Linked DNA regions of Macaca fascicularis. The protein of the gene in region 3 purifies or fractionates together with the protein of the main gene of each other region. This does not show direct contact. Links are inferred from orthologs where the notes say so. Each region holds a gene or a part of one and is shown on either strand. Other genes may lie near its edges.

Region 1 (3,929 bases), on a different chromosome or scaffold from region 3:
TGTAAAATGGCTAATCCATAGTATTTAATATAAAAATGCTTAAAATTGCTGACTAACAAGCTAACTTACCCTTCCTTGGGCAAAATCATGGGTAAAAAACTGATGGGCCAAGAAAAGACACCCCACTATCCTGTGACTGCCCATTCCCCAGCCCACTGCTTCGTACTCTGGAGCTGCATCGGGTCCCTCGGCAGGCTCGGTGGGCTGAGAAGCCTCCTGTAATGCTGGAACCTAGCTGTCAGTGGTCCCTGGCTAAAAGAGTAACAAGAAGGCAATGGAGCCAAGGCTTTAATGCCTGACTTCCGGTGACTATGTGACGAGGATAAGTCATTTGTTGCCTTAGGTTACTCCATCAGATGGGGCATGGGGCTAAATCATACTCCTCATGGAGCTCTTATTAGGATGTATTAAGAACACAGGCAATAAAATGTTAGATGAGACAGGACAAAAACACTTACAAAAACTGAGGTGTGGATAGAAAATTTCTTCCTCCCAAGTCCATTGGGTATCTGAACATTAGGAAAAAATAAAGATGTCCAACCAGATTTCCAATAAGCTCATTGATTACCCTGCAAAGAGAGCCAAATGAGTTTAAAGACATTCAAGCAATATAGTGAAACGAACCAAGTTTTAACTAATATCATAAAGAAGAGAGCCTTCAAGGCAGACCATTTAGTCCCTGGGAGTCTGTGAGAGCTGACAATGAGCCCTTTTGTAGTCCGAGTGGCAAACGCATTCTGAGGGAGCCGGGAAATCAGTCCTGCTGAACCAATGAGGCCCGCCACTCTTCAAGGCCAGCAGCCCCTCCGACATCTCTTTCAAGCACCAGCCCATCCTCAAAATATTGTTTTTGCTACTTCCTGCCTCAAGAGTTGGGGAAGTTGTAAAGCATGCTTCTGAATGCTTCAGTCATGAATACTGTATTGATAAAATGTGGGCAAACATGAAGGCTACCAAGAGAGAAGCGTGGGAGTAAGGAAAAGAGGAACAATAAATGCCTGTTCCCCATTTCCTGGAACTATTAAGCACTTCTCTCTTGCCTCTTGTACCCTTGAGTGTAAGACACCACAGAGATCACTTAGGAAAGCTGACTTGCACCCTGAAATCAACGCTGACCTTCTTCAGTTTTCCCATGGCTTACACACAGGTCACCTCAAGAGTGTATAGATCTACTGTTACTATTACATATCCTGTTTGTCTTCACCTGCAACATGATTCCTGTCAGGGACAAATCAACACCTGCAACTACTTTAGACTTCGCCTTCCTGGCTGGAAGAGCAGCTTTACCAAGTTCAGAACATGCTTTGCTCTGAACAGTCCGCTCCATTCATTCTCTTCTCCCCAACAATATGCAGAAGAAGTCAGGATCACACAGAGCAAGTATGTCAGATACATGAAGAACCAGCACTATAAAAATCGATTGAAATATTAAAAAGTAGTTTGTAGTATAAGAAATGGGAGTTCTGGTGGGGTGCAGTGGCTCAAGCCTGCAATCCCAGCACTTTGGGAGGCCAAGGCGGGAGGGTCATTTGAGGTCAGGAATTTGAGACCAGCCTGGGCAATATGGTGAAACCTCATCTCTACAAAAAATACAAAAATTAGCTGGGTGTGGTGGTGCACGCCTGTAATCCCAGCTACTCGGGAGGCTGAGGCATGAGAATTGCTTGAACCTGGGAAGCAGAGGTTGCAGTGAGCCAAGATCGTGCCACTGAACTTCAACCTCGGTGACAGAGCGAGACCCCATCTCAAAAAAAAAAAAATAATAAGTAAATAAATAAACAGAAAATATGAAGAAATGGGAGTTCTTAGAGAAGCTCCATCTTAGTACCCTCCCTTTAAAATTCTGACTGGATGAATTAAAGGTATTCCTATGTCTAGTTCTAATTCCTGACCAATAGACTAGATATTTGACCCTGGTTGGCCAAAAGCTCTGTATTATCAGCTAGGCACGGTGGCTCACGCCTGTAATTCCAGCACTTTGGGAGGCCAAGGCAGGCAGATCATTTGAGGTTAGGAGTTTGAGAACAGCCTGGCAAACACAGTGAAAGCCCGTCTCTACTAAAAATAAAAAAAATAAAAATAATAAAAAAAATAGCCGGGCGTGGAGGCGGGTGCCTGTAATCCCAACCACTCAGGAGGCTGAGGCAGGAGAATCGCTTGAACCATGAGGCAAAGGTTACAATGAGCCAAGATCGCACCATTGCACTCCAGCCTGGGCGACAAAAGTGAAACTGCATCTCAAAAAAAAAAAAAAAAAAAAGTTCTATACTATGAAACCACTTGCAAAATTATATCCTATCTAAGAATCTGGATTTCTATGACTGATCGGCAGTCTCCAAGGCATTCTGGAAATGCCTTAAGAATATAAGACATAGTAATTTTATACATAGCTCTTAGAGGAGTCAACTCAGACAAAAATTAGGTCTCTGTCAATCTGAATAGTGAATCCAGAAATACATATTTATTCCTATACACACATAGGAACACACTATGTGTAACAATAAGTTAACAAAATCGCAACCATTCAATGTTAAATGTGCTTAAAGCCCCGCAATCTAATCAATTCCATCGAAGTAAAATTATCCCATAAGTACAAGGTTCTAATGCATCAATGTTGGGATTCTTTAAAGTTGTATAAAGGTTAGAGAAAGATAAAAACTAATGGAAATTTCCCAAGGATTAGTTTCCAATTAAATAAATCTAATATCACTTACGAGCCTCCGATGATATAGTTGAATCCAAGGATAACCCAGGGTAAATAGCAGGCCTAGGATGGAATAAATATATGCAAATGTGAGTAGCCACACCTGACGAGGACACAGCTACTACTGGGACTAAAATGGGTAAGGATACACTGACAAGGGCTTTATATAAATCCTCTGGAAGGTCACTGCAAAATTTCTCAAATCAATCTAGCATTATTCCCACTATACTTAAACCTTCCTATCTAAAACTAGACTTACTTGTGTATTTGTAACTGGAAGGACACAGTACTTTGCCCACAGGTCTGCTGCAATACAGGCCCTGCTGAATTGCTATTAACAAACAGCTTCAAAAAGCAGATGAGTGTCCCACAGATGCTACTAAAAGCAAGGCCCATGACAGAATCACACTAAGATTCCAGCCAACAAATTGTTACAAATAAAATAAACATACCTCATCTTTTCAAGTTCTTCTTTTATATATCTTGCAAAATTACTCTGAATTTTTATCTCATCACATATTGATATCTTAAACTAATACTGTCCCAAATAAGAAAGCTCTCCAGATGAACATTTGAGCCCCTTACCAAATCCAAGCCATCATATCAAGAGCTAAAGGAGTTGCAAGAAACTTCACAAACTAGGAAAGAGAGGGTTATACTTAAATAACTTTACAGCTACATGTGGTAAGTACTAAAGAGAAACACAAAGTATTGAAAAAGCCCAAAGGTAAGATGAAGTATAGGCAGGAGACTCAGGAAATATGTTCAGTTCCAATTCAAATTAAGAATGGGCAGGATTTACACGAAAAAGAGAATCAAGATGTTACAGGTGGAAAACTGTGAAAGAATGTACAAAGAGAAGTGTTTGGGGGCAAAAACAGTCTGTTTCAGCTACAGTATAAAGCAAATAACAGGGAATGAGGGAGTGATAAGAACTGATTTGTAAAGGCAGGGTTTCACATGAGTTCTCTCTCCTTCTCTCTAACACAGACACATAAGATCACTCAGGGACATATCCCTGAGGGGCCTGAGGTAGAGAGGGAGTGAAAAAACAAAAGCCAGCAACAGACTCCAGGTTGGCTAATTAAATAGAGCTGGGATTGAGGAGGGCAGAAAGGGGCTTGCCTATGGTACACTGCTCTGCAGTGACCTCTTCTGGGTGAGTCAGAAAGTACATCTCTGGACTGAAGAGGGATTTCTGCAAAGACAAATGAAAAGGACACTT
Region 2 (4,552 bases), on a different chromosome or scaffold from region 3:
AGAGCCCCCAGCCCATGCTGCTGGGCCTCCTGGGCCAGTTTCTGGTCATGCCCTTGTACGCTTTCCTCATGGCCAAAGTCTTCATGCTGCCCAAGGCCCTGGCTCTGGGCCTCATCATTACCTGCTCATCGCCTGGCGGCGGAGGGAGCTACCTCTTCAGCCTCCTTCTTGGAGGGGACGTCACCCTGGCCATCTCCATGACTTTCATCTCTACGGTGGCTGCCACTGGTTTCTTGCCTCTGTCTTCAGCCATCTACAGCCACCTGCTCAGCATCCATGAAACACTCCACGTGCCCATCTCCAAAATCCTGGGCACCCTGCTGTTCATCGCCATCCCCATAGCAGTGGGCGTGCTGATCAAGTCCAAGCTCCCCAAGTTCTCCCAGCTGCTGCTGCAGGTCATCAAGCCCTTCAGCTTTGTGCTCCTCCTGGGCGGCCTTTTCCTGGCCTATCGCATGGGGGTCTTCATCCTGGCAGGCGTCCGGCTACCCATCGTACTGGTGGGTATCACAGTGCCCCTGGTTGGCCTGTTGGTGGGCTACTGCCTGGCCACATGTCTGAAGCTGCCTGTGGCCCAGCGGCGGACGGTCAGCATTGAGGTAGGGGTGCAGAACAGCCTGCTGGCCTTGGCCATGCTGCAGCTATCCCTCCGCCGCCTTCAAGCTGACTATGCCTCCCAGGCCCCCTTCATTGTGGCGCTGAGCGGCACCTCCGAGATGCTGGCCTTGGTCATTGGCCACTGCATCTACAGTAGCCTGTTCCCAGTTTCCTGAGGCCTCTGGGTCAAGCTTTCATCAGCCCCAGCCCCCACACTCCACCAAAGTTCTCATGCACTATGCACTCAGAAAAATCCAGGCTTATTTTTTTTACTGATTTTTTATTCTCCAGCTTTCAGTGCCACAGAGGCCATGCTGAGTTAGGTAGGTGGGCGCTGCCCAGAAAATATATTTCAATAAAACAGAGAAGCAAGCTTGGGTCCCTTCTAATCTTTGCCCTTTGGGGCCTGGGCGTGGGGGTAGAAAGAGTGTGCTGGGTAGGTGTGGACCAGGGTGGAGGGCCAGCTTGGGTGACACGGTGACCCCTGCATAGGCTTTCTCTATCAGCCCTCCCGGGGCGTGTCCCCACTGTAGGAGAGGTGGGAGGATGAGGGCAGAGGCTGGCCCCCCACCCCCTCTCAAGCTCAGTGGGGTGTTTCGCAGCCAGACCAGAAAGGAGGAGCCAGAAAGCCACCAGGCAGGGAGCCGGGGGCAGGGGGGCCGTCTGTGGGTATGCAGGGCCAGGTTCCGCCAGCAGTAACGGCGCGTGGGGTGGTCCAGGCAGTCTGCGGGGGCGAGCGTACCTTCTGGTCCTTCTCCATTCCCTAGCTCCCAGATGACGCCAACCTGGCCCGACTAGTTCCTGCTCCCAACTCCCCGGCGCTGTTGCTTTGGGAGGGGTCCGCCGGCCAGGGCGGTCGCTGCGCGTGTGCTAGGCGGGACCCCAGGGGCACTCCTCCCGGGGTGCAACTGGGCCGGGGGGCGGGGCCGGGGCGTGGACGAGGCAGGAGGGCGGGGCCGGGAAGCGCGGGCGGCGGGCGCGCCCCTCTCGCTGCTTCCGGCGGCGGCGGGCGGTTCCAGCGCGCGCCCGGGGCGGCGGCGCGCGGCGGGGGGTGGTTGGGGTGCGCGCCGGCCCGAGTGGACGCCGTCGCGACCGCCATGCAGCTGACGGTGAAGGCGCTGCAGGGCCGGGAGTGCAGCCTGCAGGTAGGGTCCCCGGGCCGGGCGGCCGGGTCCGGCGCGCTCTCTCGCCGGCTCCTGGCAGGGTGACCAGCAGGGCCAAGGGCGGGCACGGGGCGGCCGGGCCGGGGACTGGGAGCCGGGAGAGCTGCCCTCGGGAGCGGACGCGTGGGCTTCGCCGCCTGGGGACCGCGGCCTCAACCCTTGCCTCCCACCCTCCGCGCGGCCAGGTGCCGGAGGACGAGCTGGTGTCCACGCTGAAGCAGCTGGTCTCCGAGAAGCTGAACGTCCCCGTGCGCCAGCAACGGCTGCTTTTCAAGGGCAAGGCCCTGGCAGGTACCCAGGGAGAGGAGACGCCCAGGGAGCCCCGCAGGAAGCGGGACTGGGGTGCGCGGGCCGAGGCCGGCAGCCGTGTAACGGGTTGGGGTGCCGGCGCCAAGCGCCACATGACCCCAAGGGAGGCGGCCGCATGCCTCACTGCCGGATGCCGCAGCGCTCCGCTCCCGCCGCCCGAGGCGGTCTCGCGTCCCGGGCCACCCCCACGGCGGCGGAGGAGGAGGAACCCATCGATCTGTCTTTGGCAGATGGGAAACGACTCTCGGATTATAGCATCGGGCCCAACTCCAAGCTCAACCTAGTGGTCAAACCCCTGCAGAAGGTGCTACTAGAAGAAGGCGAGGCCCAGAGGCTGGCCGACTCCCCACCCCCGCATGTCTGGCAGCTAATCTCCAAAGTCTTGGCCCGCCACTTCAGTGCGGCAGATGCCAGCAGGGTCCTGGAACAGCTACAGAGGGTGAGAAGGGTAACCCTGGGTATCCTCTCCAGGCCCAGTTCCTCCCAGCCCCTACCTCTGTTGCAGTGTATGGCTCCCCACTGGCAGCCCCTGAATCTTCCTGCCCTTCTCTCCCCAGGATTACGAGAGGTCCCTGAGCCGCCTGACGCTGGACGACATCGAACGGTTGGCCAGCCGCTTCCTGCACCCTGAAGTGACTGAGACGATGGAGAAAGGCTTCTCCAAATAGCATTCTCGGAGCATGGGGAGGTGCCCAGTGCCAGGCCACAGCAGCATGTCGCACTAAGTGTGTTCACCTGTTGCAGTTGGGCTCATAATAATAGCTGGCATGTACCTGGCTCTGGCCACGTGCTAGGCACTCCTCACAGCTTGACCTGGGTTTGCTTCCACACCCTCAGAAGAGGTGAGCCAGCACAGCAGAGGCACTGGCGGTGAAGTGGCGGAGCCCCAGTCGGAATCCAGCGGCTTCTGAAAGTGCCTTGGTGTGAGAAGGAGGAAGGGGCTGCTTGGAGAGCTGGGCTCTGGCATGTCATGTTTAGCCCACTGAGAATATACCCTCAGGTGACTCCTTCCCAATCCTGAAAGGGAAAGCAGCTGTCACCTGACCTCTGGCGGGTCCAACATAGCCTTCAGCTTACCACTGCAGGAGGCCAAGTGACAGCCAGCCCTGGAACCACCACACCCCCACCAGCTGCTGCAGCCAGTGTGCTTTCGACAAATGAAAAAGCAGGTTGGGGCCAGGGAGTCAGCAAGTCACCCCAGCTCTGTGATGTGACTTCGGGGGAGTCTCAGTGCCACTTTGGTCCCCAGCCACGGACTTTATACAGTGAGGGCCACTCCCCGACCTGAGTCAGTGTCCTTCGTCTCACAGTGCCCCCCTCCCTTCTGTTCAGTAAACAAACTGAAGCCAAAAGCGAAGCAGTGGCCAAGTGTGACCCAGAGATGGGGTGTCCTGGCCCTTAGTGACACAGCTCCTCTCTGGGCACCCTGTCTGCTTGTCTCCTCCAGGAAGCGTTAGGGCTGATGGGTGACTCAGCAAGGCAATGTCAGAACTGGGACTGGGCGTAGGCCTTTGTCCTCGTCCCCAGCACTCGCCTCCCTGTGGAAGATGAACACATCAGCCACCTGTGTACAACCGCTCACTTCGTGTGCTCCTTGTTGCCTGAGAGGAAACCTTGGGGTGCCAGGGTGGGGACAGAAACATGGGCTGGGTTCCGGTTCCTTCTCCACTGTGCCCTGTGCATGGGCACAAGAGGACATCTAGCCACCTGCTCCTTGGAGGCCCCCAGGGGTGGTAGAGGCTAGAAGGAAGCCACAGCAGGAGGACGCCACTCTGGGCCCTCCACCCTTGCCAAGTGAGCCGCTCACAGTGTGGTCGGGGCTGCACGTGCTGGAGGCCCTCCTGCCTGGGCCTGATGGGGCAAATATTGGGTCCCCGGGCTGGAAAGATGGACAGAGGCCCAATGGGTGAAGGCTTTGAAGAGCACACAGAAGCCCCTGGCCCCCCACGAGAGCTGGAGAGCCATGTATATGGCTTCAAAGCCACCTATGGCAGGGACACACTTGTGAGCATGGGCGGCCTGCAGCTCAGGTGATACATTTACCAGTGCTCTTGTTTGCGTGGTGCCAGGAAATTGATTTTGGAAAATGAAATAACATTAAAGGTGAATGTGAGACTTCCACTTTTATCCAAAAGGAGCTATATTAGCTAGGCTGTTTCTGATATCCAATCATTGGTTTAACAATAAAGGCAATTTGTTTAATCAATAACGGAAATTTCTTGGCTTATGAAAGTGAAAAGCCCAGTGGTATCGGCATTGGCAGCAGGGGAGCAATTCTTCCAGTGTCTTCCTGCCTCCCTCTGCGTTTGTGTCTGCCACATCCCAGGCCACCACCTCCAAGGATAAAAAGGTGGCTGCCTGCAGCTTCCACAGAATCCCTCCCTCACTGCCTCACTGCCAGAGCAGCACCTTCTCTGTAGCACCTCTGCTGTCTCAGATGCCTCCAGCAAATAAACACCCTTGTTGGTCGGAACTGGATTGTG
Region 3 (3,929 bases):
CGTTACCCGCCGCCGTCTCTCCTCTGCCAACTTTTGTTGTTGCACCTCCTCCTCCTTCCGCCGCTTACGCTCCCGCTCCTCCCGTTTCTTTCTTTCTTTCTCCTGGTCAGCCCTAAGAGAGGCCAGGTAGGCCTCATCCTGCTGTTGTCTCAGCACTTGGGTCTGGTTTCTTTCTTCCCTGTGAACAGATCAAAAGCAAGAGAAGAAAAACAGCACTCTCACAAGTTCTGTTTTCTTATACTGAAATTTTCTGTGTGTGCGCGTGTGCATGCGTGTGTGTGTGTAAAAACAGTGATATTCTTAGCAGATGACTATTTCACACTGCCATAAGGGATTCCAAAAGCAAAGCATGGCAGAATCTGAATAAGCCACCTTTTATCTCAGTTTAATTTGGCAGAAAAGAAAACAGCAAGTTGTCCTCTCCTCTTTTACAATAAAATTTTTCCCCTAATTCTAACAAATGTAACACAGTACTGTTATTATGAAGGGATCATCAACATCATATTTTGGGTTACTGCATTTTTGTACTGATCTCATAAAACCAAAACACACACATATACATCCATATACACATTGTAGCAGATCTGAAAATGTAGAGTTTTCAGAGTGATTCAGAGATTCCCTAATCAAAGATAAAACACTATATAACATTTGGCATAGCTCCTATTTTCTCTCCAACAAATTTCTGTTTTGTCTTACCCAAAATATTTAGCCAATCAAAATAGTTGAACAGATAAAACATTCTTGCTTTATACTTTCTTTAAAAATTAAGACAAAATTTACATGCAATGAAATGCACAGGTCTTAATGTACAATTCAATGAATTTTGATAAATGTAACCACATAATCACCACTTCAATCAAGAAAGAACATTTCAGTTACCTCAGAAAGTTTCCTCTTCTATACATTTTTTTACACAGTTAAAATAACACTATATTTATAGGGTTTTGACCTTGCATTTTTCTTTTATTTGGAGACAGGGTGTTGCTCTGTCACCCAGGCTAGAGTGCAGTGGTGCGATCATGACTCACTGCAGCCTCAACCTCCTAGGCTAAAGCAATCCTGCCACCTCAGCTTACAGACGTGTGCCGCCACGCCTAGCTAATTTTTGTATTTTTTGTAGAGATGGGGTTTCACCTTGTTGCCCGGGCTGACCTCAAACTCCTGAGTTCAAGTGATCTTCTTACCTCAGCCTCCCGAAGTGCTGGGATTACAGGTATGAGCCAACATGCCCGGCCTGATTCTGCATTTTTCTAATATGTAACAAGCATGTCCCCATGTTATTAAAAGCTTTCCATAAATTTAAGTTTGTTTAACTTTCTTGAGGGCAAGTTGGCATTACAAATCAAAAGTCGTAAACATATACTTATATTGTCTCACCCAGAAACTGTACTTTCAGGAATTTAAATTTTAATCTAAGGAAACCATCACAAATTGCAAAAAATTATCTCCATGTATGCTATTTATAATAGCAACAAACAGAAAGTAATCCAAAAATCCAAAAAGAATGGCCTGGTTAAATTATGATGTATTTAGATAATAGAATGTTATGCAGTAATTTTTAAAATGTGGCAGAATATTTAATGATGAGGGAAAAGGCTGTGATACATTCTTACATGAAGAAGGGTTGTAAAAAAGTATTGTCCCAATTTTACAAATAAATGTGTACATATAGAGGGGTGTGTGTTGTGTGTAAAATTAAAAAAATATATAACAATGTTCAAGCCGGGCACGGTGGCTCAAGCCTGTAATCCCAGCACTTTGGGAGGCTGAGACGGGCGGATCACAAGGTCAGGAGATCGAGACCATCCTGGCTAACACGGTGAAACCCCGTCTCTACTAAAAAATACAAAAAAAAAACTAGCCGGGCGAGGTGGCGGGCGCCTGTAGTCCCAGCTACTCGGGAGGCTGAGGCAGGAGAATGGCGTAAACCCGGGAGGCGGAGCTTGCAGTGAGCTGAGATCCGGCCACTGCACTCCAGCCTGGGCGACAGAGCCAGACTCAGTCTCAAAAAAAAAAAAAAAAAAAAAAAAAAAAAAAAAAAAAAAAAACAATGTTCAAGTGGTGGCAGGATTATCAGTGATTTTAAATTTCTTCCTTGTGCTTTTTTGTGGTTTTAGGATTTCCTATAATTAATGTACATAACTTATGTAATGGAGAGGAATTATAGCCATTCCACTTTTTTTTTTTACATCAAAGTTCTTTATATTGTATTCGGCTATTCTAAATACCACAATGTACATTCTTGAGCATAGAGGCCTGTCTTTATTTTGTTTATTCATTCATTTATTTTTTAAAGACAGCGTCCTGCTCTGTCAACCAGGCTGGAGTGCAGAGGCACAATCAGAGATCACTGCCGCCTCCAACTCCTGGCCTCAAGCAATCCTCCCACCGCAGGCTCCCAAGTAGCTGGGACTACAGGCATGTACCACCATGCCTGGCTAATTTTTTCTTATTTTTTGTAGAGATGGGGTCTTACTTTGCTGCCCAGTCTGGGTTCAAGTAATCCTCCTGCCTCAGCCTCCTAATGTGGTAGGATTTCAGGTGTTAGCCACTGCACCCAGCCCTTGTCTTTATTTTGAACATCTCTAAGAACAGATTACCTGATATAGAGTAATTTAGGTCAAACTATGTAAATATTTTGACGATAAATGGGCAAAGCTAAAAGCTAACAGTGGCCTGATGCACAGAAGAAGTCAGTACTGGTAGAGCCCCAGGTCAGCCCTCCAAATTTACAACTGGTCTCTCTCTGTTCCAGAAGGGAACTCCCTTGTACCTTTCTAGGCGTTCTGACACCAGGTAAGTCTGGTTAGCATCCATGATAAATGTCAGTTGGTTAATGAGGTCATCAGGTTGAATGAGGCCTTCTAGCCGTCCCACCACAGTCATCCTTCGATCCTTCAGCATAATCATGGCCAGGAATGGATAGGTGTTCTCTCGTAAAGCCTGTGAGACTGACAAAAAGACCCAACAGATCAAGGGCAGGACTTGACGGTGAAAAAGATCAACCTTAGACTTTTCACAATGAGTGAGAGAGAACTATTTTAATCCTGGTTGAGGAAGACGGGAGGTATCATTTGGTCTCTGCCTTTCCCCACTTCCTAGTTTCTTTCTTTCTTTTCTTTTTTTGAGCCAGGGTCTCACTATGTTGTTCAGGCTGGTCTCCAACTCCTGGGCTCAAGTGACCTGACCACCTCAGCCTCCTGAGTAGCTGGGAGTACAGGCGTGTGCCACCATGCCTAGTTCCTCCCAGTTTTGTAATCTTTTGTTTTTGTTATCAATTTGCATGCCTATCCCTAGGTGCTTGACTAGAATAAGACAGGCTTTCCTGGTGGCGGTGTGGTTGTTGTGATGATGCCAGGGAAGGCTGCAGAGTTCAAGGATAATGTCTACTTGATGGTAGGAAAAGGATCTATAAAGAATCTGGCAGTTTTTCCCTGTACAAGGGCTCAAACCTAAAAGGGCACAAGGCTGCAAGTCTCAGCTTGATGATACTGATGATAATCTCCACCATAGTCTTTTTTCTCTTGCCTAATCCTTTCCTTACCCTTTCTCCCCATGTATCTTTTCTCTACCCGTAAAAAGGTTAGTTTTTCTGTTCCAAAGAAGTTTATTAATAGAAAGTTGAGGCTGGGCTGGTAGCTCACACCTTTAATCCCAGCAGTTTTGGGAGGCCGAGGTGGTTGGGTCATTTGAGGTCAGGGATTTGAGACCAGCCTGGCCAACATGATGAAACCCCATCTCTACAAAAAATACAAAAATTAATAGGGCATGGTGGTACATCCCTGTAATTCCAGCTACTTGGGAGGCTAAGGCAGGAGAATCACTTGAACCCGGGAGGTGGAGGCTGCAGTGAACCAAGATCGCACCACTGCACTCCAACCTGGGTGACAGAGTAAGACTTGGTCTCAAAAAAAAAACAAAAAGAA
Region 4 (3,929 bases), on a different chromosome or scaffold from region 3:
AAGTGCTGGGATTACAGGTGTTAGCCACTGTGCCTGGCCATCAATTTCTATAATAAAAAATACCCTTCAAGACCAGCCTAGCCAACATAGAAAGACCTTGTCTCTACAAAAAAAAAAAAACAAAAAAAGTCACAAGAGGCTTATTTTGTCTGCCCCTCCCCTCCCCCCTTCCCCTTCTCCCCTTCCCCCTCTCCCCTCTCTCTTCTCTTCTCTCTTCTCTCTTCTCTCTTCTCTTCTCTTCTCTTCTCTTCTCTTCTCTTCTCTTCACTTCTCTTCACTTCTCTTCTCTTCTCTTCTTTTGCTTTTGACAGAGTCTAGGGTCTGGCTCTGTCACCCAGGCTGGAGTGCTGTGGTGCAATTTCTGCTTACTGCAGCCTCCACCTCCCAAGCTCAATCCATCCTCTCACCTCACCCTCCCAAGTAACTGGGACTACCGGCACGTGCCCCCATGTCCATCTAATTTTTGTATTTTTTTGTAGAGATGGGATTTCACCATGTTGCCCAGGCTGGTTTTGAACTCCTGAGCTTGAGCAATCCTCCTGCCTTGGTCTCCCAAAGTGCTGGGATTAAAGGTGTGATGTGGCTGGCCTTATTTTGCTTTTGCTTGCTTTCATTCTTTTTTCTGCTGGTGGACAAAGGGAGTGCACAAAGCACTAGGGAGAGAGCAGGTCCTCATGTCTACGATAGCAGTACCTGAACTATACTTGGAGTTACAGCATCACCCTTCTGAGTAATCAGTGATAGTGACTTAATGCTGTGTGAAATAGAATTGATGGTCAAACTACCAGGATAAACCTCAAGATTGTAGGGGGATTCCCAGGGGATAGGTGTAATTGGTTGTCACTTATTAACAGGACTTTTCCTCAATAAAAGTTGAGTTTCTATGTCATAAAAATATTTTATGGAACTTTGAAGCAGAGAAAATAAAATAATGGGTAAACTTGAACAATCTGCTTTTTAATTGAACTGAGAAATGTTTGTCTTTTATCATTTTATAAAAATAAGTTTGGTCTGAGCAACGCTAAATTTTACTAAAAAGAAAATATCCTTTTTTATAGTCTCTTCTTGTGACAGTGAGGACTGCACATGTGATTTTACGGTGAGTGAAACTGGAGAGGGAGGTGATTGAGGCCTACTCATACAGTTGATTTTAAGATGTAGCAGGTATGAAATATATAAAAATCTGACTAAATTACAGTATGATTAAACCAAATTCAGTTGTAACAGTAAATTACTAAGGTGTTTTCTCTCTTCATTACAGATACGTAATTCACCTCTGGGACCTCAATCACGAAGGGACGTGGGAAGGAAAGGGGACGTACGTCTATTACACAGACTTCGTCATGGAGCTCACTCTCCTGTCCCTGGACCTCATGCACCATATTCACATGTTGGTAAGTTTCCTCAGAAGAAGCTCTAACAGAGGGCAAGCCTTTCAGAATCAGGAACAGTAATGGTTTCTTTATTAAAAAATGAAACTTTAGGAATAAGATGCGGATGGACTACTTAAAAGACTAAAAATGAATGTGGCTGCAAACCCTCCCTCTTTTTGCCACTGGGTGTAAGGCAGTGCCGTGGAATTGCTTTGGCTGGTGCCTAACTCAGGAGGTGTTTGTTGTCCTGGGAGACTTAGTTAACTCTGCTGACCAAGTCAATAGATTATTCTTTTAGCATGAAAGTAAGGAGCTGCCTTTCCCCAGTTTCTATGGCTTTAAATATTTAGCAGTTACTTTGTAGGTGGTAATGGGAATTCCTGCAGTGTTAGCTACTTCATGGATTCATACATTTTCCATCTTTGTAATTAAAAAAAGTCTTTATACTTAATTCCTACATTCCTACTACCATCATTGTTTACATTTTACTTTGATATGTTAGAAGTTACAGTGTCATAGATCTGCTTCATTGGTTGGCCTTTCAGTGATCTAGTAATGGTGAGAATTAAAATAGTTGGTGGGCAGTTTATTTAAATTATAAGCCCAGTAAGTATCATTTAAAAATTATTGGGCTAGACATGGCATATTTCTAAGTCTGCTTTTTGAAAGAAACTTTGAAAACATACTTTTTAAAGAAAGCATGTAATTCTTTTTTTTAAAAAAAGAGGCTCGGCCGGACGTGGTGGCTCACGTCTATAATCCCAGCTACTGGGGAGGCTGAGGCAGAGAATTGCTTAAACCTGGGAGATGAAGGTTGCAGTGAGCCGAGATCGCACCAGTGCACTCTAGCCTGGGCGACAGGGTGAGACTCCATCTCAAAAAAAAAAAGCCTCCCTCCCCCCTCAAAAAGGGGACAAATGGCCAAAGATAACTCTTAAGATTTTTTTGTCTTCTTTTTTTAAATTTTAATTTTTTTCCTCATGCTTGTTTCCTGAAGATTTTGTTGTGTTTAACTGCTTCTTTTAACAGTTTTCTTTTTATGTATTTGAGTACATACCTTCATAAATTGAGATATTTTAGACATATAGACATATAGTTTTAAAAATGTATTATGAACATTTTCCTATGCTAGCATCAGTTCTTCTAAGCCGTTTTAATACTTTCAGGATAAAAATGTCTTCAGATAGCTGTACCATGATTTAATAAACCACATCTCACAGTGGGTTATTTAGATTATATTCGGTTGTTTGCTATTTCACATTTTTACATATTTTTTATCATGTATTAGTTTGATAAAATTAGTTATATCTTGCTTTTTTTTATTTATCTAATATAGTCTTCCCATAATTGACCTTCAGAACTGTTACATATACAAATATAATAGTGTAATATGTAGTTGTATAATATAAATAAATGTAATTAATGAGTATATAATTTTACATTATATAAGTTTACAACCTAACTGTTCTTCTGCTGGACATTTTGTTCATTTTCATATTTTCTCTTTTATAATTTCATGGATAGACATCTTTTTGCATAAAGCTTTTCCATTTCTGATGAGTTTCTCAGGAAAGATGACTGGCAGTGGAGCACCTAGGCAGACGAGGATATGCCTTGTTTAGAGTAATGAGATACATCTGTGTATTTCCTTTCTGAAAAATATTGCAGTTCACCATCGCCAACAGTGAAGAGCTTCTGCTGCATACTGCGCCTTCATCACTAGCAAGTTCATGTTCACTTTTACCGTGTATTTTACTCTCTTTCTTTCTAAGTTATTTGGCAACATCTGGTTATCCATGGCTAGCTTGGTCATCTTTATGCAGCTTCGTTACCTGTTTCATGAGGTGCAGCGTCGAATTCGTCGGCACAAGAACTATCTGCGTGTGGTTGGGAACATGGAGGCCAGGTGAGGAAACATAAGTTGATGTTGCCTAAGTTTACTCATTTTAGCTTTTTAATAACAACAGATTCCAGAGTATGTCAGAATGCATGTTTGTAAACTGCTAACAGTGGTGGAGAGGAGAGGCTCTGGAGTCAGACTGCCCGGGTGTGAATCCCCGCTTAGGTGCTGGGTGATTTGGGGCAGTTTACTTCATCTCTAAATTAGGGATGAAAACAGAACCTTCTGCCTGAACCTTTGGGAGAATTTGGTGAGATAATTCGTGTATTTAGAATAGTACTGGGCACGTAGTGCTCAGTATTAGGCTCTTATTCGTCATGATTTTATTGTCATTATTATCAAATAGACGCTTCATTGGGCTTCTGTCCTGCTCATTTCGTGAAAGTGGGTCTCAATTATTCTCTGCATATGCATGTTTACACACACATACTTAACCTCATTGAAGGAGGCACTCTTTTGCCAAGCTGAGGCTAAACCATGCCTGGAGGTGCAAGATTAATGGGTATCCTCTTTGTGCCCAGGGGGACAGCCTGGATCACTTCTTTGTGGCCAGGGACACAGATTGGATCTCTGGGGGCCTTACTTCTCTGATTTGTCTGGATATGTTCTCCGATGTCTTCACTAAAAGCAGTCATTGTTATTATTACTATTTTGGA
Region 5 (4,456 bases), on a different chromosome or scaffold from region 3:
AGCAGGGTGTTTTCAACTGTATTGCTGTCCCCTTTCTTCAAAATGAAGAGTTTTCAACAAACTCTAATATGGCTGGCCCCTTCACACCATCTGGGCCTCAGCTCAGCGTCACCTTCCCAGCTACCCTCCATGATCATGCGTGCTAAAGTGGTCCTCCACCATAACTTCGGTGTTTGCAGTTACCCTTTCATTGTCTTCATGTCACTTGTCACTATGTGAATCACACTGACCTGTTTGATGCTGGTCTCCTTTATCCTGCTTATTACTTTATCCTCTGTATATCAACAATGTGTGGCTGCTATGGGTACTCAACAGACACTTGTTGAATGGCTGAGAGAGAAAGGCAAGTTTAACACTAAATCACTATTATCTACTAACCACAAAACGTTAGAAACATGCAGGTGGCAGGAAATGTCAGGGATTTCTCCCTGGAAAGGGACTGTTATTCACCACCCATGGGGGTGGGGATAGGCACACGTGTCATCCTTCTTTCAGATTCTTACTCAGGATCAGAATTTTGATTTGCTAAAGGGTCCCTCAACTTATCTAAAGGAAATCATGGGCAGTGGCTCACGTCTGTAATCCCAGCACTTTGGGAGGTCGAGGAGGGAGGATCACTTGAGGTCAGGAGTTCAAGACCAGCCTGGTCAACACGGCAAAACCCCGTCTCTACTAAAAATACAAAAATAGTCAGGTGTGATGGTGGGCACCTGTAATCCCAGCTACTTTGGAGGCTGAGGGGGAAGAATCGCTTGAACCCGGGAGGTGGAGGTTGCAGTGAGCCGAGATCTGCCACTGCACTCCAGCCTGGGTGACAGAGTGAGACTCCATCTCAATAAATAAATAAATAAAACGAAGGAAATCACTTCCCCCTCAGTGGGTAGCTTCTCCAGAGAAAAATGTTAAAGCTGACACACAGCCTTTTCTAATGACCAGTCCTGGAAAACTGTGCCCAAGCTCCGTCAGCACCATAAGCACTGAGACCAGGACCTGCTCATTGCTGCATTCCCAGCACCTAGCCCAGTTCATTGCCCAGAGGAGATGCCCAAAATGTTTGTAAAACGAGCATGTAAGACACAGCCTTCTGAGGAACGGCCATCCCAACAACTCTTACACTGCAGAGGCACTTAATTTTAGAAACAGGCCAAGACAGCTGCAGAGGGGCTCTGGGCCTAGGTCTCTCCCTGGGCAACAGTTTGATTCCTAGAATTCAACACTCACCACCATGCGCCATAGATAATAAAATATTATCTTCCCCACAGTCGCCCTGTATCAAATTTGAATACACTTGGCCAATATAATCTCATGGCTAATATAGTACAGCAACCAATAACAGATTTCTCTTGCCCTTCAAATTTTTTCTATGTACTTTGGCTAGCAAGAATAGATCTAAATGCTAAAGAACAACAGAAATTGAATAATTCTACCATTAATTTCATAACCACCAGTACCTGGCTCACTGTATGATCCCAGGAAAACCACACCGCCTTCTTGAGCTGTCAGCTTCAGCAACAGTCATAACGCTCTTTATCTACAGGGTAGTTTGGGGAAGATTAGTTTTGTTTTGTTTTTTGAGACGGAGTTTCACTCTTGTTGCCCAGGTTGGAGTGCAATGGCGCAATCTTGGCCCACTGCAACCTCCGCCTCCCGAGTTCAAGCAATTCTCCTGTCTCAGCCTCCCGAGTAGCTGGGACTACAGGTATGCACCACCACACCCCGCTAATGTTGTATTTTTAGCAGAGATAGGGTTTCTCCATGTTAGTCAGGCTGGTCTCGAACTCCTGACCTCAGGTGATCTGCCTGCCTTGGCCTCCCAAAGTGCTGGGATTACAAGCATGAGCCACCAAGCCAGGCTGGGGAAGATTAGTTAGTAGTTGTAACATACTCTGGGACCAATGCATGAAAGATGCCATAAATCAAATTAATTATGAAACAAAAGGAATCATAAATACTGAAACCACTTCAAAACCTGAGAAATTGAGAAGTGAGGAAGATTTAAAATCATGCCTGTGGCTCTGATACTAACTTACTGTCAGACTATAAGACAAGACACGTATTCTCAGAAGATTCATGACATTCCCAACAGATCTTTAATATTTGGAAATGTCAGATGTTTCTGTCCTCCAGCAGCATTAACTTCACACGGAGTATGAACAGTGACAAGCAATTGCAAAATTAGAGCAGTTCTCCGTTGCTGTACCCGTGCCTAACTGTTAACACGCAGTCTACCGTACGCAAAGTCAATTCCACACACTCAGTGTCAGTGAGAAAAGCCGTTCAACTGGCTGTAAAAACACTTCTCCGCCCCCTACCTGCTGACCACCGCTAACACGCCAAGAAAACAGCAACATCCAGCAGCACAGCTGCGCTCCCTCGCCACAACTTCCTAACTTCCCTCCACTTGAAAGCACTCTCATCAGTGTTTGTTTGTCTAAAAACTCTTCTTGGAGACTGGAGAAGAAACACATCCAAGTGAAACTGAGAGGTCAGCTTCTAAAGCGGAGGCTGAACTTTGCCAAGTGGGGGCGGGGGGAGTCAATTCGGTCCCCCAGGAGCCTAAATGAATGGGGCAAGATGAGGGGGACCGCCCCTTCCTTCAGCGCGGCACACGCGCCGCAAAGGGCCTGGGGCCGGCCCACGAGAACACCAGGGCACCTGCCCACTTGCAGCGGCCCCAAGAGACTCCTGGGCATCGCACCTGGGGACGCCAGGTGGGGTCCGGGCGGGCAGCGGGGCTTTGTTCCCATTAGCCCCTCCAGGCCGAAATGGAGACGGTTTCCGCTGACCCCCCCAAGACCAGGAACTAGCAGGGTTCGGACGCCAGTCTGGAGGGTCGGCCCCACCACCTCCGGCAAACCCGAGGGTCCCCGCTGCCCCCGCCTCCTCAATGAGGTGCCCAGGGTAGCGTGCAGGGGGCAGCCAGAATGGCGGAGGCCGGTACTCACAGAGCCCACTGGAGCCGGTGCTGGTGAACATGGTCCCGCCGGGCTCGGAGCCCCCGAGGGGGCCGGGGGAGGGGAAGCTGAGGTGGGAGCCCCGGCGACCGCGCAGGCGCACTCCCGGCGGAACGACGAATCCGGCTCCGCGAGGCCACTCGCCGCGGATGAATGGCGCATGCGCAGCCAGGGGCGTGTGCCCCCTGGGTCAGCACCCTCCTTCCTGCCGGGGAAGGGAAGTGCGTCCGTAGGGGAGGGCCCATCTCTCCAGGTTGAAACGATGGCGGTCAGAGCCGCCTGAGGCAAAAACGGGTGGCACTGGGGCAGCGGAGGCGTAGCTCCCGGGAGCCTCACACTTGGGCTCAGTGCCGCCTCACCTCTAGTGGATCCGCGATGGCCGCGGATTCCTCTGGATTGCCGGCGCTGGGCAGGAACGCCATCTCTAATCTCTCCCGAGACTGGACGCCCGGCGCCTTCCCCGCGCGTTGTGTCTTTCCGGGCGGTCCCTCGAAGCTGGCTACCCCGCGGGCTGTTGACTGCAGTGGGATCTGGTCACTCAGATGCGGATGGAGGGGTACGGGAGCCGGAGAGGTGGAACAGGTCCCTCCGGGTGCGGAGAGCTGGGCCGTCCAGCCGCCTCTTTGTTCCCTCGTGGGTCCCGCGCGGAATCCCCACCACCGGAGCCGAGTGTCGTGGCCCCAGGAGTCAGCACCCTGCCCTCCCCGCCGTGGTGGCGGGTGTCTGGGGGTCCCCGGCGCGGCGAGCCCGGCGGAGCGACCCAGCACTTGTGCCCTGGCGAGCTTCCCGGAGAGCTTCCGTACTCAGACCATTTAAATTTTTTCCCCTAGAAGAATGAAGTTACTCAGCCAAAGTCACGGTTTTTAAATGAGTGTGAGCATGAAAGCATATTATGCAGTCGTTTTAAAAAGTTTTTTTTTAAGTTGATCTCGTAAAAGTAGAGTAAAAGAGTGATTCTTGTACAGAGGAGAGTTAGTGGGGAGGGAGGAAGGGGAGAGGCTGGTCAACAGGCGCAAAGTTACAGTTAGGAAGAATACGTTTTAGTGTTCTCTTGCACATTTGGATGACTATACTCAACAATAATGTTAACTTCAAAATAGTTAGAAGAGAGGATTTTGAATGTTCTCACCACAAAGAAATGACAAGTGTTTCGGTGATGGATGTGCTAATTACGCTGATTAGATCGTTGCACAATGTGTTTATGTATGGAAACATCACACTGTACCCCAGAAATACATACAATTATGTAAGAATGTATATTATGGGGAAATTGACCACACTACCCAGCTAAATGAAAGGGATGGGCTATGGAGTACTTTAAAAAAAAAAAAAAAAAAAAAAGCTTTTTCAGTGCTCATAAGTGCCAGCCAGTGTGCTAAATCTGAGATTCGTAGATCAACAGTCCCTACCCTCAAAGAGAGGTTCCAGTGGGCCAAAATGTTAACATTGATTATTTTTAGAAGGCAAAAGTATGACTTTTATTTGCTTCTTTAGGCTTTATT
Region 6 (3,929 bases), on a different chromosome or scaffold from region 3:
CCCTTTCAATTCAGAAACACAGACCCTTCAATTATGGGACACTTTCTGAATTATTTCACTGATGCTTTTCTCCTCACTGTTTTGTTAATTATGTATCTTGATCACTATGTTTATTAGTTCATGTGTTTATATATACCAATTTACCATGCTATACTCCACTCTTTTGTTGTCCTCCTCCTTAGAGATGAGTCACGCTCTGTCACCCCAGGCTAGAGTGTAGTGGCGTGATCATAGCTCATTGCAGCCTTGAACTACTGGGCTCAAGTGATTTTTCTGCCTCTGCCTCTCAAGTAGCTGGGACTACAGGCATGCACCCACCATGCCCGGCTAATTTTTAAAAAATTTAGGCCAGGCACAGTGGCTCACGCCTGTAATCCCAGCACTTTGAGAGGCTGGGGCGGGCGGATCATGAGGTCAGGAAATCGAGACCATCCTGGCTAACACAGTGAAACCTTGTCTCTACTAAAAATACAAAAAATTAGCCAGGCATGGTGGCGGGTGCCTGTAGTCCCAGCTACTTACTCGGGAGGCTGAAGCAGGAGAATGGCGTGAACCCGGGAGGTGGAGCTTGCAGTGAGCTGAGATCATGCCACTGCACTCCAGCCTGGGTGACAGAGCAAGACTCCATCTCAAAAAAAAAAAAAAAAAAAAAAAAAAAAAAAAAAAAAAATTATTTTTAAATTATTTATTTGAGACAGAGTCTTGCTGTGTTGCCCAGGATGGAGTGCAGTGGTGCAATCTCAGCTTACTGTAACCTCTGCCTTCCAGGTCCAAGCGATTCTCCTGCCTCAGCCTCCCAAATAGCTGAGATTACAGGCGTGCGTGATCATGCCTGGCTAATTTTTGTATTTTTAGTACAGATGGGGTTTCACCAAGTTGACCAGGCTGGTCTTGAACTCCTGACCTCAGGTGATGCACCCACCTTGGCCTCCCAAAGTGTTGGGATTACAGGCGTGAGTCACTGTGCCTGGCCAACCATTTTTTTTTTGAGATGTAATTTCACTCTTCTTGCCCAGGCTGGAGTGCAATGGTGCGGTCTTGGCTCACTGCAACCTCCTCCTCCTGGGTTCAAGTGATTCTCCTGTGTCAGCCTCCCAAGTAGCTGGGATTATAGGTGCTCGCCACCATCCCCGGCTAGTTTTTGTATTTTTAGTAGAGATGGGGTTTCACCATATTGACCAGGCTGGTCATGAACTCCTGACATCAAGCAATCTGCCTGCCTCGGCCTCGCAAAGTGCTGGGATTACAGGCGTGAGCCACCATTCCTGGCCCCAACAATTTTTTTTTTTAGACACAGGGTCTTACTATATTGCCCAGTCTGGTCTCAAACTCCAGGCCTCAAGCAATCTTTCGGCCTTGCCCTCCTCAGTAGCTGTCCTCAAACTCATGCCGGTTCTACCTCCTCTGCTCAACCTTTAAATGTTGGTGGACCCAGGGCTTACTCCTGAGCCACCTTCTCTATTATCAACGTTGTGTCTAGGTGAACTCATCCAGGCTTTGAATATCATTCCTGTGCTGATGATTCCTAAATTTTTATATCCAACTCTTACACTTCTCTCCAGAAATCCCAGTGCCTTCTTGACGTTTCTACTTGGATTGCCTCACAGGCATTTCGGACTTAACATGGCCAAAACAAAAACTGAATTTCACTCAAACCTATTACTCCTTTGGTCTTCCATCTCAGTAAAAAGCACCAAAAACCACTTAGATGCTCAAGTCAAAAATTTAGGAATTGTCTTTGCTTCTACTTTTTCCCCCGACTCCACAATCTATCCAATTCTGTAGATCTACCTATTAATGCATCCCAAATCTATCCTTCTTACCTCTACTGTCACCTCCATTCTATTGCAAGCCATAGCTACAACCATGTCTTTCTCTGCTATACTCCTATAATGATCTCCTAATTGGTCTTCCAAGATCTACTTTTGCCATCCTAAGACCTATGATCTACAAAGAAGCCAGAGTAATCTGAAAAAGGTAGGTCATATCACTTGGCTGCTTAAAATTCTCTAAGAGCACCATGAATTTGATTCTAACTTTTCTTTTTTCTTTCTTTTTTTTTTTTTAAGGCAGAGTCTCGCTCTTGTCACCCAGGCTGGAGTGCACTGGCACGATCTCGGCTCACTGCAACCTCTGCCTCCTGGGTTCAAGCGCTTCTCCTGCCTCACTCTCCCGAGTAGCTGGGACTACAGGCGCCCGCCACCACACCTGGCTAATTTTTGTATTTTTAGTAGAGACAGGCTTTCACCATGTTGGCCAGGCTGGTCTCAAACTCCTGACCTCAGGTGATCCACCTACCTCGGCAACCGAAAGTGCTGGGATTACAGGTGTGAGCCACTGTATCAGCCTGATTCTAACTTTTTTCATTCTGGTTTATAAATCCCTATGTAATCAAGTCCCTGCCTACTTCTCTCTGAACACGTCACTTACAAGAGTAAATCATAATCTGTTAAGACATTCATTTAGCTATGAAATTAAGATAATCTTTTTTTGCAACAGAAAATTGCTAGACACTATTCAATCATCCTATGTCTTCATTTCAAGGAAAGCCCAAGAAAAAAAGTGTTTGAGAAGTCAGGAAATAAGATCTAATTAATAAAATGCCTCTTAGGCCGGGCGCGGTGGCTCAAGCCTGTAATCCCAGCACTTTGGGAGGCCGAGATGGGCGGATCACAAGGTCAGGAGATCGAGACCATCCTGGCTAACATGGTGAAACCCCGTCTCTACTAAAAATACAAAAAAAAAAAACTAGCCGGGCGAGGTGGCGGGTGCCTGTAGTCCCAGCTACTCGGGAGGCTGAGGCAGGAGAATGGCGTAAACCCGGGAGGCGGAGCTTGCAGTGAGCTGAGATCCGGCCACTGCACTCCAGCCTGGGCGACAGAGCGAGACTCCGTCTCAAAAAAAAAAAAAAAAATGCCTCTTCTGGTATTCTATTTTTGGTTCCAATTTTCAGATTTCTGATGATTTCTATAAGCAGAGAAAAACAAGAACATGCTCCTCAGTCTCTCTGAGGTATTGTGCTATTCCTTGACCACTTACCCTGTGGGTAGACACTCTTCTAGTCTCTTGTACTGGTAGCCAGAGTTAGGGTTGATTTGGCCTCCTGGGGTACAGGCTGTAGCCTGGATAGTTAGTTGATGGCAGGCACACTTGGACCTATATGACAGAGAGAAATAAAGGAAAGGAGCGGGGGGATCAGAGAACAAAATAACACAATACACATGTACCCAGGGTTGCTCAGTGTGGCCATGTCAGACTCCAGTCTCCCTACCTCATAGCTTTCATGGAGGCCTTATAGCACGAGTTCCAGGTGAGGGAGGAGGTAAAGGAAGATGGGGAAAGCAGTACAGATACAAGGGAAAGGAAGAGGTGAAAAGGAAGACAACCATAACAAAGTTGGAAGCAGGGGCAGCAATTCTCCCCACCAACTCACTTGTCCCGACACCCATCCTTGCAGTCACAGCCAACCAGAAATTCAGGGCCTGTGTTAATGAAAACACCCTTGCCCGGGATACGTTCCTTGCTGTAGGCCACCTGGGGTGGAGGGGTTGTGTCAATCTCATTGACACAGGATAGGGGAACATCTTCCTTCCCATAGGTGATGTCCAAAATATAGTAAAAAGGCTTATAGGGCTGAAACTTTCGGTCCACAAGAACATATGGATCCAAACAGAACATCTCCAGGAAGAGGAAGTCACAGCCAGTCTCGAAAAGGTAGCGTTCGATCTCCTGCATTGTCCGAAGGCAAAGACCACAAGGTGTCTTATAGATAACATGAAAGCCCATCTTGCGGTTAACTCGACGCCGGGCTGTCATCCGCCGGAAGTCATACAGTAATGGAACCAGCAGAGGGTTCTTGCCCCGGTACTGCTCATTCCTCATAGGTCTGACTCGAGACAGACAGGTATAGCTGCAGACATGAGGTAAGT
Region 7 (4,547 bases), on a different chromosome or scaffold from region 3:
TAAGAATTTATGTTTGTAGGCCGAGCACGATAGCTCATGCTTGTAGTCTCACCACTTTAGGAGGCCGAGATGGACAGATCACCTGAAGTCAGGAGTTCAAGACCAGCCTGGCCAACAGAGCAAAACCCTATCTCTACCAGAAATACAAAAATTAGCCAGGCGTGGTGGTGGGCACTTGTGATCCCAGCTACTCGGGAGGCTGAGCCAGGAGAATCACTGGAACCCCAGGCGGAGGTTGCAGTGAGTCGAGATCGCACCCCTGCACCCCAGCCTGGGCAACAGAGTGAGACTCCGTCTCAAAAAATAAAATAAAATAAAATAAAAATTTACGTTTGTAATGGCTAAATATAGAGTGGTTACAACTGTTTGGCCGTATATGTAAGGTAGGATTTCTGTTTTGTTTTTTTTTTTTGTGAGACGTGTTCTGGCTCTGTCACCCAGGCCGGAGTGCAGTGGCACAATCACGGATCACTGCAGCCTCAACCTCCCGGGTCCAAGCAATCCTCCCACCTCAGCCTCCCAAGTAGCCAGAACTACAGGTGCAGGCCACCATGCCTGGCTAATTTTCTTGTTGTTGTTATTTTTGTTTTTGTTTTTTGAGACAAAGTCTCACTCTCTCGCCCAGGTTGGAGTGCAGTGGTATGATGTTGGCTCACTACAACCTCGGCCTCCTAAGTTCAAGTGATCCTCTTAGCTCAGCCTCCCACGTAGCTGGGATTACAGATGTGCGCCATCGCTAACAACAAAAAATACACTTCCTTGATTAACTCCTTCCTTTTAATTCCCATCAGGACCTCTCTTCGGGCACTGGCTGATAAACTTCTACCGCCTCATCTTCTCTGCTAGACTTAAAGAGTTCCTGAAGGCAGAATAAATGTGGCTTGATCAGTATTTGCCGATTCAACGCAGAGGTGCCCAGGCCATCTTAGTGAGTTAAGCGAAGACCCGGCGATCGCGCTGGACAGGACCCAGAAGCCAGAGCGCCGGAACTTCCGGCCGGCTCCCGGCATCCGTCGGGCCCCGAGCCCGCGCTGCATGCTGGGACCTTCAGGTTGGAGCCCGCTGTAAGGCCGACCCACGGGCCGCCGCGCTCCCTCGCGATGCCGCCTAAGCCAGTCTCGCCCGTCCCCGCTTCTCCTCAGAGAAAATGCTGCCCTGCAGTACTTACCGGAGCGACCATGAGGGTCACGAATTCGAGCACACACAGGCTTCCCGCCACCTCCTTTAAACCGCCGCTGGCTTGCCAGCGACAGACGGCGCGGTTGGCTCCCCAAAATTCCGACTGATACGCGCCTCGGCGAGCGAAAGTAAACGCGGGATACTCTCGCGTTCCTGATTGGCTGGTTGGGGACACGTCAATTATGACAGAAAGGGGCCGGGCGGGAAAGTTAGCTGTGGCCGGCGGGGATTGGCAGAAGGAACCTGTACTTGGGGCGCTGGGGGGGGCGGTGGCCACGCAACTCGTGATTGGCGGATGTGCCTTCCTTAAGTCTCTACGGATTGGCGGCTGGCCGATTGCTTGGCGTTGATTGGGCAGCCGCGGGAACCCTAAAGCGGGCGCGGGGGAGGCCTTTGTCCCGCCCAGCCGCCGGGGCCTGCTGGCGGAAGGGGAAGTGAGGGGGGCAGGCGACGGTGGGGAAGATGGCGTACCAGAGCTTGCGGCTGGAGTACCTGCAGATCCCACCGGTCAGCCGCGCCTACACCACGGCCTGCGTCCTCACCACCGCCGCCGTGGTGAGCAGCTGCAGTGCCACCTTCTCATTATCTGGGCTGGATATGACTGGGTCTTCAGGAAACTGGGGTTTGGGCTTCGGGGAGGCCCAGAGGGGCTGGTCCCGGGGATGGTTGGAGACGTACAGGGATTACTCTGGGGTTCGAGTTGGCGCCGAGAATGCTTATCCAGTGACCTGAGAAGGGAGTGCTGCTTCATGGGGGGTCAGGTCAGTTTCTAAGAGATGAGGGCCGGACCTATACCGGGTTAGGGTTGCGGGAGCCTCCCACCCGAGAAATGTGTCCGAGAGCTCTGCCAATGGCCAGGTGGTACCGTGGTGACTAGTGAGAGGAAGGTCCGTTTTATGAAGAAACAGGAATGAGGAAAGCAAGGTGGAAACTGTCCAGAGGGGAGTGGCTTATAATAAAGAGGGTCTCTGGGTAACAAAGGGCTAGCTGGAGGTACCCAGCCCCAACGGTGGCAGGGTCTCGAGTCTCCGTTATTTCAAGTGAGTTTTGTTGTTTCACACGGCTGTTTCAGGTGGTGCCCATGTGGTGGGTAGATTCATAGCAGCTGTTTTTATTTGTCCTGTGTCTAAAATATCACCACCTGTCTGCCTCATTTCTTCATGTCAGCCTCAACTATTGCAACATAAACTTTTTTGTGTTAGGTATTGAGGATACAAAGAATTCTACCAATTCTAGAGAATTCTTTACCAACCTCTTCCTCTGGCCTAAGAAGAAAGGCTTAAAGAAAATCAGTAATTGACCGAGAGTTGGAAATTGCTAGACCTACTAATCCTTTGTTGTAAATGATGAAATTTTGTTTCTTGGTTGATTTGCTTTAAGAAGCTCTTTTTCTATTTCAGCAGTTGGAATTGATCACACCTTTTCAGTTGTACTTCAATCCTGAATTAATCTTTAAACACTTTCAAGTAAGTGGTTCATCACAATAGTGATTAATGCTTCAGTTTCTTCTTTTACTTACTGTTTAGTAGCAAATCCCGTTGTACACTATCCTAAAAAAGAACCCCATGGGGGACCTTTGATTATAAGTTGTCTTGTCAGGATGTAAAGCAGTGATTCTGCAGCCTGGTTGGACTTGAGAATCCCTTAGGGAACTTTGAAGAGATTCCCAAGCTCCTCAACAAGTACCAAATCAGAATTTGCAAGGGTAGGAATTAAAATCTGTGTTTCATTTTTAAAGTTCCCTGCATCGTTTTGATGTGTCCAGTTCCTGTATTCGGAAATCACTGGTTTAGACTTAATGTTGTAGTATGAGAGGAGAGTGACCAGCTAGCTGCTTAGGGGTTGTCTCTGCAGGGATGGCCTTATTTTGTCCATTCACCACCTAGGCACGCCCACCACCTTGGTGTTATCATGATGGTCCAGAAACTCAATTCTGTTAGTGCTTTTAAATTGTGATCTGTCTTCCAGTGATCAGATCATACTAACAAAATTCCAAACATCTAAAGCTATGTGGTGGTTTATTAGATTACAGTGGGAGATGGTCCTTTCCGGTGATTAAAATGTCAAAAGAGGCTGGGCGCAGTGGCTCACGCCTGTAATCCCAGCACTTTGGGAGGCTGAGGCAGGCAGATCACCTGAGGTCAGGAGTTCGAGACCAGCCTGGCCAACATGGTGAAGCCCTGTCTCTACTAAAAATACAAAAATTAGCCGGGCGTAATGACACATGCCTGTAATCCTAGCTACTGGGGAGGCTGAGGCAGGAGAATCACTTGAACCCGGGAGGCGGAGGTTGCAATGAGCCGAGATTATGCCAGCCTCTGAGACAAGAGCGAAACTCTGTCTCAAAATGCTAAAAGAAACATGGATTTTTCTGTTCCAAGATGATCTTACAGACCATAGTTGGAGTAGGGGAGAGACCCAAAAGCCAATAATTGTGCCTCTACACATGCTGTTCCCTCTGTCTCAAATGTGTTTCGTTCACTTTATACCCATTGAACTCTGGCTTGCCTTTCAAAACGCAGCTTTTGTGTAACCTTTATGTACTCATCCTCCTTTGTTTTAGAGCATCTCTCACCTTTACTTTGCAGTTATGTGTATGCTTGTCTCCTCACTAGGATGAGGACTCTAAAATCTGGGTAATTAATATGTAGAACTGAATTGTTTCAACTTTAATAGTTACCAATTCTCAAGAATTTAGTGATTTGTAAAGTAGTCTTGTCATCTCTTGTCACTGTGTTCCCACAATACTCACATGGAGCTGTAGTTCCATCCAAGTAAGTCTTGCTTCCTACTTGGCTTGCTTGGTTTTACTCTGCCTGGGGTTAAACTGTTAAACTCTTGATGACATTTGGAGTTAGGACTTTGAGATTTGCCATCAGTCTCCATCTACTCCTGCGGGTCCTTGGTCAGGACATTTAAAAGTTCAACTTTCAGCTGAGTAACTAGTGTTCAGCTAGTAGTTCAACTTTTAGCTGAATAACTAGTATCAGCTAGTTATTCAACTTTTAGTCTTTTAGTTTCCTATCTGTGAATTAACTTGCTTGTCTCACAGAATCACAACAGATAGTAGACATTTTAAAATGTTAAGCACTCTACCATTGTGAGTGGTTACTGTGGGTGTGGAGAGGTTGGGTAGGGAAGGGTGTATCAGGGTTTCCAACAAGAAAATGAGTGTTTGGCCGGGCGCGGTGGCTCACGCCTGTAATCCCAGCACTTTGGGAGGCTGAGGTGGGTGGATCATTTGAGGTCAGGAGTTTGAGACCAGCCTGGCCAACATGATGAAACCCTGCCTCTACTAAAAATAAAAATATTAGCCTGGTGTGGTGGTGCACACCTGTAATCTCAGCTACTTGGGAGGCTAAGGCAGG

The links.
Region 1: the proteins of FAF2 (region 3) and DERL1 purify together in Homo sapiens (affinity purification with western blotting; 4 studies listed by BioGRID and IntAct, with this or other methods). This does not show direct contact. The link is inferred for Macaca fascicularis from reciprocal best matches to the Homo sapiens genes FAF2 and DERL1.
Region 2: the proteins of FAF2 (region 3) and UBL4A purify together in Homo sapiens (affinity purification with mass spectrometry; 3 studies listed by BioGRID and IntAct, with this or other methods). This does not show direct contact. The link is inferred for Macaca fascicularis from reciprocal best matches to the Homo sapiens genes FAF2 and UBL4A.
Region 4: the proteins of FAF2 (region 3) and AMFR purify together in Homo sapiens (affinity purification with western blotting; 9 studies listed by BioGRID and IntAct, with this or other methods). This does not show direct contact. The link is inferred for Macaca fascicularis from reciprocal best matches to the Homo sapiens genes FAF2 and AMFR.
Region 5: the proteins of FAF2 (region 3) and UBAC2 purify together in Homo sapiens (affinity purification with western blotting; 7 studies listed by BioGRID and IntAct, with this or other methods). This does not show direct contact. The link is inferred for Macaca fascicularis from reciprocal best matches to the Homo sapiens genes FAF2 and UBAC2.
Region 6: the proteins of FAF2 (region 3) and SETDB1 purify together in Homo sapiens (affinity purification with mass spectrometry; 3 studies listed by BioGRID and IntAct, counting the BioPlex papers as one, with this or other methods). This does not show direct contact. The link is inferred for Macaca fascicularis from reciprocal best matches to the Homo sapiens genes FAF2 and SETDB1.
Region 7: the proteins of FAF2 (region 3) and DERL2 purify together in Homo sapiens (affinity purification with mass spectrometry; 5 studies listed by BioGRID and IntAct, counting the BioPlex papers as one, with this or other methods). This does not show direct contact. The link is inferred for Macaca fascicularis from reciprocal best matches to the Homo sapiens genes FAF2 and DERL2.

What each region holds. Positions count from the first base shown.
Region 1 is NC_088382.1:132,671,362-132,675,290, forward strand, and holds part of DERL1 (derlin-1), read right to left. Parts: intron 2,768-3,929; coding exon 2,715-2,767; intron 570-2,714; coding exon 459-569; intron 1-458. UniProt on the Homo sapiens protein: Functional component of endoplasmic reticulum-associated degradation (ERAD) for misfolded lumenal proteins. Forms homotetramers which encircle a large channel traversing the endoplasmic reticulum (ER) membrane.
Region 2 is NC_088395.1:160,486,322-160,490,873, reverse strand, and holds UBL4A (ubiquitin-like protein 4A), read left to right. Parts: upstream 1-1,650; 5' UTR 1,651-1,694; coding exon 1,695-1,742; intron 1,743-1,945; coding exon 1,946-2,051; intron 2,052-2,299; coding exon 2,300-2,508; intron 2,509-2,626; coding exon 2,627-2,737; 3' UTR 2,738-4,542; downstream 4,543-4,552. Other genes in the region: SLC10A3 (P3 protein), read left to right, coding at 1-773. UniProt on the Homo sapiens protein: As part of a cytosolic protein quality control complex, the BAG6/BAT3 complex, maintains misfolded and hydrophobic patches-containing proteins in a soluble state and participates in their proper delivery to the endoplasmic reticulum or alternatively can promote their sorting to the proteasome where they undergo degradation.
Region 3 is NC_088380.1:183,396,089-183,400,017, reverse strand, and holds part of FAF2 (FAS-associated factor 2), read right to left. Parts: intron 2,955-3,929; coding exon 2,777-2,954; intron 179-2,776; coding exon 7-178; intron 1-6. UniProt on the Homo sapiens protein: Plays an important role in endoplasmic reticulum-associated degradation (ERAD) that mediates ubiquitin-dependent degradation of misfolded endoplasmic reticulum proteins.
Region 4 is NC_088394.1:52,463,665-52,467,593, reverse strand, and holds part of AMFR (E3 ubiquitin-protein ligase AMFR), read left to right. Parts: intron 1-1,058; coding exon 1,059-1,099; intron 1,100-1,261; coding exon 1,262-1,394; intron 1,395-3,145; coding exon 3,146-3,279; intron 3,280-3,929. UniProt on the Homo sapiens protein: E3 ubiquitin-protein ligase that mediates the polyubiquitination of lysine and cysteine residues on target proteins, such as CD3D, CYP3A4, CFTR, INSIG1, SOAT2/ACAT2 and APOB for proteasomal degradation.
Region 5 is NC_088391.1:90,109,350-90,113,805, reverse strand, and holds the start of UBAC2 (ubiquitin-associated domain-containing protein 2), read right to left. Parts: upstream 3,121-4,456; 5' UTR 3,117-3,120; coding exon 2,699-3,116; intron 1,532-2,698; exon of another isoform or gene 1,452-1,531; intron 1-1,451. UniProt on the Homo sapiens protein: Restricts trafficking of FAF2 from the endoplasmic reticulum to lipid droplets.
Region 6 is NC_088375.1:110,286,171-110,290,099, forward strand, and holds part of SETDB1 (histone-lysine N-methyltransferase SETDB1), read right to left. Parts: coding exon 3,434-3,929; intron 3,157-3,433; coding exon 3,040-3,156; intron 1-3,039. UniProt on the Homo sapiens protein: Histone methyltransferase that specifically trimethylates 'Lys-9' of histone H3. H3 'Lys-9' trimethylation represents a specific tag for epigenetic transcriptional repression by recruiting HP1 (CBX1, CBX3 and/or CBX5) proteins to methylated histones.
Region 7 is NC_088390.1:5,551,240-5,555,786, reverse strand, and holds the start of DERL2 (derlin-2), read left to right. Parts: upstream 1-1,615; 5' UTR 1,616-1,641; coding exon 1,642-1,734; intron 1,735-2,579; coding exon 2,580-2,645; intron 2,646-4,547.